Sus scrofa: one gene and its partners. The protein of the gene in region 2 purifies or fractionates together with the protein of the main gene of each other region. This does not show direct contact. Links are inferred from orthologs where the notes say so. Each region holds a gene or a part of one and is shown on either strand. Other genes may lie near its edges. The genes, in order: SKP1, CRY1 and FBXL3.

The links.
Region 1: the proteins of CRY1 (region 2) and SKP1 purify together in Homo sapiens (co-immunoprecipitation; 4 studies listed by BioGRID and IntAct, with this or other methods). This does not show direct contact. The link is inferred for Sus scrofa from reciprocal best matches to the Homo sapiens genes CRY1 and SKP1.
Region 3: the proteins of CRY1 (region 2) and FBXL3 purify together in Homo sapiens (affinity purification with mass spectrometry; 4 studies listed by BioGRID and IntAct, counting the BioPlex papers as one, with this or other methods). This does not show direct contact. The link is inferred for Sus scrofa from reciprocal best matches to the Homo sapiens genes CRY1 and FBXL3.

Annotation. Positions count from the first base shown.
Region 1 is NC_010444.4:136,459,217-136,462,866, reverse strand, and holds part of SKP1 (S-phase kinase-associated protein 1), read left to right. Parts: intron 1-2,149; coding exon 2,150-2,290; intron 2,291-3,190; coding exon 3,191-3,226; 3' UTR 3,227-3,650. UniProt on the Homo sapiens protein: Essential component of the SCF (SKP1-CUL1-F-box protein) ubiquitin ligase complex, which mediates the ubiquitination of proteins involved in cell cycle progression, signal transduction and transcription.
Region 2 is NC_010447.5:13,274,232-13,278,498, forward strand, and holds the start of CRY1 (cryptochrome-1), read left to right. Parts: upstream 1-1,317; 5' UTR 1,318-1,945; coding exon 1,946-2,103; intron 2,104-4,267.
Region 3 is NC_010453.5:49,137,743-49,141,392, reverse strand, and holds part of FBXL3 (F-box/LRR-repeat protein 3), read left to right. Parts: intron 1-124; coding exon 125-296; intron 297-3,650. UniProt on the Homo sapiens protein: Substrate-recognition component of the SCF(FBXL3) E3 ubiquitin ligase complex involved in circadian rhythm function. Plays a key role in the maintenance of both the speed and the robustness of the circadian clock oscillation.

The DNA of each region.
Region 1 (3,650 bases), on a different chromosome or scaffold from region 2:
TCCGAGCCGCGTCTGCGACCTACACCACAGCTCACGGCAACGCCGGATCGTTAACCCACTGAGCAAGGGCAGGGACCGAACCCGCAACCTCATGGTTCCTAGTCGGATTCGTTAACCACTGCGCCACGATGGGAACTCCCTGGTATGTTTTTAATGCATTGTATAAGACATCTCTAATGCACAGCCTTCAGCACCTCTTTTGAGTTAAAATTGTTAAATTCATTGATACTGAATTTTAATTCTAAATTCAAATGCAGTGCTATATTTAAGTCCATGTATCAGTAACCACATTAAATGTAAATGGTCTAAACACCACAATTAAAGGGTAGAGGTTGTCACATTGGATAAAAAAGCAAGACAGCTGTTCTCTCTACAAAAAACTCACTTTAAATATATAAAGTCACAATTAGGTTTAAAAGGTGGAAAGAGATATTTTGCTAACAACAATCAAAAGAAAGCTGGAGTGACTATATATATTTGGGTATATTTCTGAGCAAAGAATATTACCAGGATTAAAGAGGGTTGTTGCATAATGATAAAGGGATCAGTTTGTTATTAAGAGGACATAGGAATCCTAAATGTTTATTTACCTAAAAGCAGAACTTCCAGAAAGTGAGACAAAAACTAACAGACTTCTAAAGAATAAGTAGGCAAATCTGCAGCCATGGTTAGATATTATAATACGTCTCCCTAATAATCAAGTAAACAGAGAATCAGTAAGGATATAGAGGGCTTAAATAACAACCAACTTGTCCTGATATTTTTATAACATTATATCTAATGACAGCAGAGTACATATTCTTTTCAAGTGTATCTTTCCATGTTGTGGACCTTAAAACAAGTCTCAAATTTGAAAGGATTTAGGTCACACAAAATGTGTTTTTTTTCTAATCACAATGGGATTAAGTTAGAAATCAGTAACAGCCATCTGGAAAATCTGCAAATATCTGAAAACTTAACACATTTCACAGTAACCCATGAATCGAAGAAATCAAAAGAAAAATTAATATTATGAACGTAATAGAAATGAAATACAATGTATGAAAATCTGTTAAATGCAGCTTAAGTAGCATTCAGAGGGAAATTGACAGTACTAAACACAAGTATTGGGAAAGGAGAAAAGTCTCAAATCAGTGATCTAAGCTTTTACGTTAAGAAACTTAGGAAATGGGGGAGTTCCCGTCGTGGCTCAATGGTTAACGAATCCGACTGGGAACCATGAGGTTGCGAGTTCGATCCCTGGCCATGCTCAGTGGGTTAAGGATCTTGCATTGCTGTGAGCTGTGGTGTAGGTCACAGAAGCGGCTTGGATCCCTTGTTGCTGTGGCTCTGGCGTAGGCCAGCAGCTACAGCTCTAATTTGACCCCTAGCCTGGGAACCTCCATATGCCGTGGGAGCAGCTCAAGAAATGGCAAAAAGACAAAAAAAGAAAAAAAAGAAACTAATGAAATGGAGTTTCTGTCGTGGCACAGTGGAAACAATCCAACCATGAGGTTGCAAGTTCTATCCCTGGCCTCGCTCGGTTAAGGATCCGGCGTTGCCGGGAGCTATGTGTAGGTCACAGATGCAGCTTGGATCTGGTGTGGCAGTGGCTGTGGTGTAGGCTGGCAGCTACAGCTTGGTTCCCTAGCCTGGGAACCTTTATATGCCGTGGGTGCAGCCCTAAAAAGACAAAACAACAACAGCAAAACACAACTAATGAAAGGTGAAATTCAACCCAGAGAGAGGAGGTATTAAAGATAACAGCAGAAATCAATAAAATAGAAAACAGTAGAGAAAATGAAAGAAAGTGAAAGCTGATTCTTTTGGAATTAATTAAGATGTGATTCTATAACAGCTTATATTGGAATTCCGTAAATATTTTTGTCAAGATTTGAGGTGTGTGCGTACATAAAACTGCCAGTAGTGGCCATTCTTTACCATTTGAGGTAGTGCAGTTTGCTGAAGGTAGCACAAGGATCAGTATTACAGAAGTATAACAAAGAAGGGGGCATGCAACAATCTTTCATGGAAGAATTTGTCATTTATTCATTTCTTAAAATTGACTACCGTTTTAAGCTGAATTAGATACGGATTCTTAGTCACTAACTTTGGATTTAATTTAAAACATCAAGTATACTTAAGTGAAAACAACAAAATTACTTTACAGGCAGCAAACTACTTAGACATCAAAGGTTTGCTTGATGTTACATGCAAGACTGTTGCTAACATGATCAAGGGGAAAACTCCTGAGGAAATACGCAAGACCTTCAATATCAAAAATGATTTCACTGAAGAAGAAGAAGCCCAGGTAGGTGGCTCACAGCTTATTCTTGATCAAATGCTTTTTTATGAAAGACTAAAACCCAAGCTAGGCAAAAGAAGTACTAATAGCAAGGAGTCTTGACCTTATTTGAGGGATAAAAGGTACCTTCTGTGTGCTAAATATTAATGATACTGTTTTTCATAAGTGTAAGAACAATTAGTATTCATCCAAAGGTGCTGTTTGATCATTTGTTCCTTAGCATTTACTAGTTTGGGCACCTAGAACCTTACATATAAGTCATCAATATTTGACTTGAGAAAAGCAGGCCCTATCTGTGGGTGATTGTGTGCCAGGATACCTCACAACGACTTAGTGAATGGGGAAGAAATGAATAAATCAGAATGGTTTTGTTGGCCCAGGTCAGCTGTAGTGACTAAAGCTGTAATTGTTCATTGCCTTTCCTTTTTTTTTTTTCTTTTTTTTTTTCCCTTGCGTTTTAGGGCCATACCTGTGGCACGTGGAGGTTTCCAGGCTAGGGGTCAAATCGTAACTACAGCTGCTGGCCTACACCACAGCTGAAGCAATGCTGGATCTGAGCCTCGTCTGGGACCTACACCACAGCTCACTGACAATGGCGGATTCTTAATCCACTGAACAAGGCCAGGGATCAAACCCCCAACCTCATTGTTCCTAGTTGGATTCGTTTCTGCTGTGCCGTGATGGGAACTCTGCCTTTCCTCTTTTTTTTTAGTGATTATTTGAGCAGGGCACAATAAAAAACTGGGGAGGGGAAAAAAAATGGTACTCTTAACCTAGTTTTTCCAGTTTTCCATCTATCTCTTTCTGACCCACCTCACAGGCTACTGATGAATCATGAGGCAGTAGACTTAGGAAAGACTACACGTGTTAAGGTACTTCCTTTCTATCTGTCTTTATTTCTTGTAGGTACGCAAAGAGAACCAGTGGTGTGAGGAGAAGTGAAATCTTGTGCCTGATGCTGAAACACTGTAAGGATATTTCCAAATACTAGTTGCACTGCTCTGTTTATAATTGTTAATATTCGAAAAACAGTCGACAAATGCAGCAGCAAATCAGTTGTGTTAGTGGAATATTGTTCTCATTGCATGTGTAGTTTCAGTACAGATTCCAAACCTATGGCTGAGTTTCTTCTAGTATGATCTAAAGTTTCTCTTTTCTTTGCTCTGAATAAAATTGAACTGTGGGTTCTCTATAGGAAGTGGCATATTGGGCTTTGCCTCTTTATGTAAAGCAATTTCTGCCTAGTTTATTGTCAGTTTACTTTAGTTTAGTGACTTGGAAAAGTTGGCATTGTAAATAAAGCATCTCAGAAAAATTTTTCTGAGATAGAATTAACAATGTATTATCTTTATTCATGAGTTGGAAG
Region 2 (4,267 bases):
TAAGATTATTATGAGGGCTCATAATAACCAATATAAAGTGCCTGACCTATAGTAGGTGTTAAGTCAAAGTTTTTATTAAATGGTTACTCCTCTCAAAGATATATTAACAATCTATATGCCATTAAAAACCCTTCAGTCTCTGAGGAATGCACAATTGACAGTACTGATGCTTTTATAAAAAGTTAGTACTTTTAGGTGTAATGAAAGTTACATACATCCACATACAGCTATTTAAGAAAAAAAAAAACCCTTCTTTATTGAATGGACAATAGGCAAAAATAAGGCAATTCTACACAAATCAATACTACTTACAACTGTTGCATTTGGATGCTTGAAAATAATTCTTGTGTCTTTAGACACAATCTGCTTACTTTCAAACTACCTAAAATGAAACATGAAACACTTTTTAAAAGTATAATAGGCTCTGGAGCATGAAGCATTGCCTCTAGAAAGGTAGGCAAAGGCCCCATCACAAAGAGCCCTATAAACCGCACCAACTTTAAGAAACTAGGGCTGACAAGTTGACAATATACAGATGGTATCAAGGAATTGCAGTAACACCTGGCACCAATCCTATGAATTACCCCTCTTCCCCAGAGCACGTGCAAGGGTGCTCTGCCTCGAGGGCCACAAGAATGAGAAGGACGCCAGCTCTACACGCTCCAAGGCAGGGTTGGGTTCTGCAGTCAAGCTGGAAGGAAGCACATGGTTTGGGCTCCACGTCTAAGGGGAGCCTCTTACTCCGCTCTTTTCACCGCATACCGCCCGCACTCCCCACCTGGCGCCCCCACCGCCTCCTGTTAAGACACCAGGAAGCTTCCTGGCCTTCCCCCGAAACCCCCCGGGAAAAAGCCCCAAGCGCGCTCCAGCAGCCCGGCCCCGCCTTCCTCGCCTCCCTCCGTAAGGCAGCGAGTGCGCACGCGCGCCTACCGGAACTGAGCGCGCGCTCGCGAACTCCCCGCATACCCGTGCTCATCCGGGTCTCGGAGAGCCTCGGCCAATGGTGGCCGCTCACGGCCCCCGAGGGCGGGGCTAAATCTTGCCTCACACGGGGCCTCTGGTCACCGTGGGCGCTTTCAGGCAACGGCGACTCGTCCGCGGAGGAAAGGACAGAGGCAGAGAGTCTAGCGTCTGGGCGAGGGTCGACGGTTTTGAGATGGAGCGGCTGCCGTCTAAAAATTAGAGACTGAATAGCGAGCAGAGTCCCCAGTCAGAGCCGCTGTAGTAAACACACTTCAGAAACGTGAGGTGCCGGGGGTCACGTGGGGAGCGCTCTGTCCAATGAGGAGCCGAGGGCGGGGCCAAGGCCGCTGACGCGGCGGTGGCGGAGGAGTCACCCGGGCAGCCTCGGGACCGGTCTCGGGCCGGCAACCGTCCAGCGGCTTTGACCACCGCCTCAGCGTTCCGTCCTCACGCCTCTTTCCTGGGCCGAGAGGTAGCGTGGCCGACAGTCGCTGAATTCTCTCTCCTCCCTGTCGGTGGTTTGCCTCAGGCGGGCCGTTTGCGCTTCAGGGGCCGCCTCCGTGGGGCGAGGTTTCCGTGACGAATCTCCTGGGGCTGCCCGCGCCGGCTCGGGCCGTCGTGGCGGCTCGGGCTCGTGGAACTTGCTCATCCTCCGGGGGTCCGGAGCCCTCGAAGTTAGGCGTCTCATCCAGGCGGTCGTGGCGGGTGCCGGCTCTTAAAGGGCGTCACGGCAGGACTCCGCTGACTGGGCAATCTCCATTCATCTTCCAGCCGCACGGGCAGCGCCCTCTCCCTCGCGGGTCCCCTACTCGGACTCATTTTTTCCTTTCCCCGCTCTGCTGCCCTTTCCTCACTCCTTGGGTGCGGCGATTCTCCTGGAAGCGGGGGTGTCGGTTATGAGCTGGACCCTCTTGCCCTGAATTTCTCGGGGCAGGAACTCGGCGGCGCCGCCGCGCCGCCTGCCGCCCACCGCGCCCCCGGGATGGGGGTGAACGCGGTGCACTGGTTCCGAAAGGGGCTCCGGCTTCACGACAACCCCGCCCTGAAGGAGTGCATTCAGGGCGCCGACACCATCCGCTGCGTCTACATCCTCGACCCCTGGTTCGCCGGCTCTTCCAATGTGGGCATCAACAGGTGGAGGTGAGTCAAAATCCTGTGAGAAATTGATTTCGTTGTTTCATGAATTGGGACTTTACGTGCGATCGACCACATCTAAGAATGTAGACCTGGGACCGCTGTGCTTATGCAGTTTTAATTATTGCAGGTGCTTTAAGCATTAAATAGAATGGGCTTAATGGTTCTCTGGCCGAAGAGTGCCGGCAGCCTGGAACACCTTGGCCTTCAGCTATGAGTTATGTATCTCTGTGCTGATGAGGACTCTTCTGCGTTTATGGAAAATTCTTAGTGGGGGAGTTAAAGAACCACCCCTTCCAATTAAGTGGCCATGGATTGATTTCCTTGGCCGCCGTGTGACACTGAAGGGATTGCGGTTTTTAATGTTTACGTTTGTGTGTGTCTAGGTAACTCATAGAATGGAGAAAATCATTCATTCAGTATTGTCGCCTCCAAACCCAGTTTTCTTCCACCTTGAGGTTGTTTTGGGAAAAGCAAGGAAGACTACATTTCCCTTTGCTCAACTCTTTCAACTCCTCCTTGTGGTTGACTAGACACAGCACAGTTTTTCTTTCTAAGCAAAGTATAATCCTAGGATTCAGAGCACTGGAAGAAATCTTAGAGAAGTTTTACCATCTTTTCTCGAAATGCCAGGCTAGATGATTGTTAGACCGCCTGGTGGAATGAGAATATTCATTCAGCTGACAGATTATTGATCACCTACTGTATACCAGGCACTGTTTAAAACACCAGGGATACAGTTATTGAATGAGACAGACAGAAATTCTTGTCCTTTTTGAAGACATGTCCCAGAAAGTATATAGTATTTAGTGGTGATAAATGATGTGCAGAAATACAGAGAAAGGGGATGAAAAATACGACGGGGTGGGATTGGAGTTGCAATTTAAAATATGGTGATAGGGAAAAACCCATATTGAGCAAGATGATGAAGCAAGTAATAGATTACAGATACCTAAGGAAAAGCATTCCAGGGAGAAGGAACAGTAAGATAAAAGGTCCTGAGATGGAGATATTCTTAACCTTTGGAAAGAATAGCAGAAGAAACCGATCTACTGGAGCAGAGTAAATGAGAGGAAAAGTAGTAAATGAGGTCAAAGATGTAATGGGCCAGATTGAGTAGAGCTTTATAGGCAGTTGTCAAGATTTGGGCTTTTACTCATAGCAAAGTGGGAATAACTGTAGGAGTATGAGCAGAGAAGTGATGTGATTTGAATCAAGCTTTTAAAAAAGTCTCTGGCTGTGGTTCTGAGAACAGACTGAATTGTAGAGTGGAGGTGGGCAAGAAGCAGGAAGACCAGTTAGCAGTTCATTGCTTTCATCCAGGTGAGATATGATAATGGCTTAGACTGTAGTGATCATGGTGGACATAGTGAGAAATAGTCAAATGTTGCGTGTATGTTGAAGGCAGAACACACAGTATTTGTCAACAGATTGTATGTGTGACATAAGAGAAAGAGAAGGAATTAGGAATGATGTAAATTTTTTTGACTTGAGAAACGAGAAGGATGGAGCTGCTTTTTGCTAAGTGATTAGTGGGAAAGGCCATTGAAAGGGTGATTTGAGTTCTCTTTTGAACTTGGTTAATTTTGAGGTGTTTATTGCACATCCAAGTGGAGACAGCGGATAGGCAGTTGGATATATCTGCAGCTAAGGACAGAGACCCAGGCAGGAGGTATAAATTAGAGAATTATCAGTTTATAGATAATATTTAAAGCCATTTATTAATCCATTCATTCATTGAACAAATTCAGGTCATTCATCTACATGCCAGATACTTTTAGGTGCAGGGCATTCAGTATAAATAAAATAGCTAAAAAATCTCTACCTTGTTGAAGCTACATTCTAGTAGAGCCATGAGACTATATCAGAACATTAAGAGAGTGAGTATAGGTAGAAAAGAGAGGAGGTCCAAGAACTGAGCCTTGGGGAGTTCCCGTTGTGGTTCAGTGGATTAAGGAACCAATGTTGTCTCTGTGACAATGCAGGTTCCATCCTTGGCCTTGTTCAGTGGGTTAAGGATGCAGTGTTTCCACAAGCTGCCATGTAGGTCTTAGATGCGGCTTGGATTCACTGTTGCTGTGACTGTGGCATAGGTCTAAGTTGCAGCTCTCATTTGACCCCTAGCACAAGAACTTCCAACTGCAGGTGAGGCCACAAAAATAAAAAGGAA
Region 3 (3,650 bases), on a different chromosome or scaffold from region 2:
CTACCCAAACACAGTTGTGAAATGTATCGTTAAGGTTCCAGTGAACTATATGCTTAATATATGAAAAACCCTCAATTCTCATTTGTAAGAACTGAAACAATGTCTTAAATTTTGTGTTTTTCAGTCTCACTTTATCTCTGCACTGACAGTCGTGTTTGTAAACTCCAAATCCTTATCCTCGCTTAAGATAGATGATACCCCAGTAGATGATCCATCCCTCAAAGTACTAGTGGCCAACAACAGTGATACGCTCAAGCTGCTGAAAATGAGCAGCTGTCCTCATGTCTCTCCAGCAGGTTTGTTGCAATTCTTGCCAGATAACGTTTTAGTAAAATGTATTGATGTGTTTATCTAACAAAGGAGAGTTATGATCATTACTGTGAAGGTGGGTTCAAATGATTTCCTCTCTACTGTATACACATTTTTAAATGTCATAATACAATAGCATAAATTGTGTAGCACTCCTAGCCTAGACACTTATTTTCAAATCTTATTTGGCAGTTTGTGTCCAACCTGTGCTAGGAAACGGATAAATTAAAGGACAGTGTGAGGTTGGCCTGAGATGTAAGATAGGATTTTCTCTAATTGTGGTTGAGCTAACAGGGTTTTGAGTCAGAGCCATATCATAGTTGCTTTTCTTCCCACTATGTAGAGAAAGAAGGATTGTGCAGAAGTTGTTGCCTTAGATTTTGCAAGATAATGCTTTTCCTAAGTTGAGTTTTGGAGTCAAGAACCCATCAGATGGAGGAATAGCTTTATAAAAGTTCTTTCCAACTTTTCTTGTGTTTACTTTTCTAAGTGTTACTACATTATTGAATTTGAGATCATTTAAACTTTAAGTGGTTTGCACTGTGAAGCAAATATAAACCTACACTTCATATTAGTCTGTAGCTTCACTCCTGACTCACCCTCCCATTGTTGACCTCCCAACCCTTTGGCTGTGTTATTTGGGAAACCTGTTTTTTTTTTTTTTTTTTTTTTTTTTTTTCTCTCCTGTCTTTTTAGGGCTGCACCCACGGCTTATGGAAGTTCCCAGGCTAAGGGTCGAATCGCAGCTGTAGCTACGGGCCTACACCACAGCCACAGCAACCCACTGAGGCCAGGGATCTAACCCACATCCTCATGGATGCTAGTCGGGTTCGTTAACTGCTGAGCCACGACAGAACTCCTGGGAAACCTGTTTTGATCTCTTTACGGAACATGTCCCACCTTCTTGTTAAATCTAAAGGCTGGCCTTTCCCCAGGAAAATGATTCCGTCTCAGATGGAGATTGCTCGCTGCCCTTCCATGTCTCCCACATGGAAGAGCTGGTGATGGGAATGTCGAGGTCGGCTGCAGTGTTTTCCTAGCTTTTCCTGCTTCCTCTAGATCATTAGTGAAGGTGATACACTAAATAAAACAGAGGCTTAGAAGAGTGGGCTTCAGCTCTTCCTTCTTATGTGACCTTGGTCACATTTTACTTTCTACTGTGTGGGTTTCCCATGAGAGTAAGGTTCATACTTCGTAGCTTGAGTGTACAAAGTTCTTTGTATCCTGACCTCCACCTATCTCTTTAATCTTGCTTGCTGTTTACTCACGTGCAGCTTTATTTGAGCCCTATGTAGTGACAGTTCTTTGTACATGTCTGTGGTCAGTACAGTTTATCTTGTGGAGTACCTTTAAGAATTTTTTTTTTTCCACTTCATCCATCTAACTCCAGTTCAGCCTTCAAAATTCAGTTCAAGTGTTCCAGTTTTGTTCCTCTTTCACCCTCCTCCCAGGTTTAGAACCCCTGCCTGTTTCCATAGCACCCTGAACATAACTTGTAGCACTTACCACACTGTATGAGAGCCTTTGGGGCTCTGATTTCTTTGTGAAATTGAGAGCTTATTTTTCTTTTTATCCTGGTACATCCAGTGTTCATTTATTTTTTTTAAATATACACATCAATTCTCATAGTATGTTAAGACCAACCTTGCTTGGTCTTAACAAGCTCTAATGGCATTTGGACTAGTTGTTTTGGGAACAGAAAAGAAAGAGCGCCTGTAATACTTTTTTAACATAAGGGTATAAACATAGAGGATTTTATTTTCAAATTTAACATTTGTTTGGAGTGTCTGTCATGGCTCAGCGGGTAAGAAACCCAACAGAGTGTCTGTGAGGATGTAGGTTCGATCCCTGGCCTCACTCAGTGGGTTAAAGGATCCAGCATTGCCCCCAGCTGCAGCATAGGTCGCAGATGTGGCTTGGGTCTGGTGTTGCTGTGGCTGTGGCTGTGGCATAGGCCTGGCAGCTGCAGCTCCCATTCAGCCTGTAGCCTGGAACTTCCATATGCTTCAGGTGTGGCCATAAAAGATAACAACAGCAAAAACCCCCAAGAATCTACTGTCTAGCACAGGAAAATCTACTCAATAGTTAGTAATAAACTATATGGGAAAAAAGAATGGATATTAAAAAAAATAAAATTAAACATTTGTATATTTTCTTTCTATCCATATTTTGCATATTTAGATGGTTTCTTTATCTAAGTTAAATTAAGGGCTACTTTCTGTTCTACCTTTTTTCCTATTTCATATAGTCCTTACAATTGACTGTCTATTACCAGACCACTAAGCACCATTTGACACTACTGACTATTATTATTTTTTTTTTTGGTCTTTTGTCTTTTTAGGGCTGCACCCAAGGCATATGGAGGTTCCCAGGCTAGGGGTCCAATCGGAGCCGTAGCCACCGCCTACGCCAGAGCCACAGCCACAAGGGATCTGAGCCGCGTCTGCAACCTACACCACAGCTCACGGCAACGCCAGATCCTTAACCCATGGAGCAAGGCCAGGGATCGAACCCACAACCTCATGTTTCCGCTGTGCCAGGATGGGAACTCCACTACTGACTATTCTTGATTTTCCTCCTCCTCTGATTTTTCCTACTCTATTTCCTTTTCTAGTTTCTCTTTTCATTGCTTAAATTTTTGTGTTTCACTGTGTTCTATTCTGGGCCCTTCATCATTTTATTCTGTAAACCTCTGGTCTATGTTATCTTCATCAGGGGCTTCAGTTATGTTCTCTGTGTTAACACCTACGTTGAGTGCTTCTGGAACTCCAGAGCTGTGTGTTGAGCTGATGATGGCCCAGCGCCTCTAGAATGTCTCACTGCTACTTCAGATTAATGAACATCCTTTTCCCTATTGAAATCTCTGGCTTCTCCCTTTTTTACTGTCTCAGTGAATGGTACCACCCATTTAGTTGCAGGGACCTGAGAGACATCCTTGACTCCTCCTACCCTTTGCATTCCTTCAATCACTGAGGTCTAGTGATTCTCTCACTGATTCATGCTCTGAATCTCTTTGCTGTGAACTGAATGTTTGCGTTGTTCTCTTCCACCCCTCACCCCCTGCCACGAGTCACATGTTGAGGCCCTACTCCCTAGTGTTGGTGTTTGAAAATGAGTTGGGAGGTATTAGGTCCTAAGGGAGAAACCCTCATAAATATTAGTGCCCTTCTAAGAAGGGGTAGGAAAGATGATTTGATCTCCTTTTCTGCCATGTAAAGACACAGTGAGAAGGTGGCCATGTGCAAGCCAGAAAGAGTTTTGGCCCTCACCAGAACCCAGCCTTGCTGGCATCCTCACCTTGGACTTGTAGCCCCCAGAACTCGGAGAAGTAACTGTTGTTT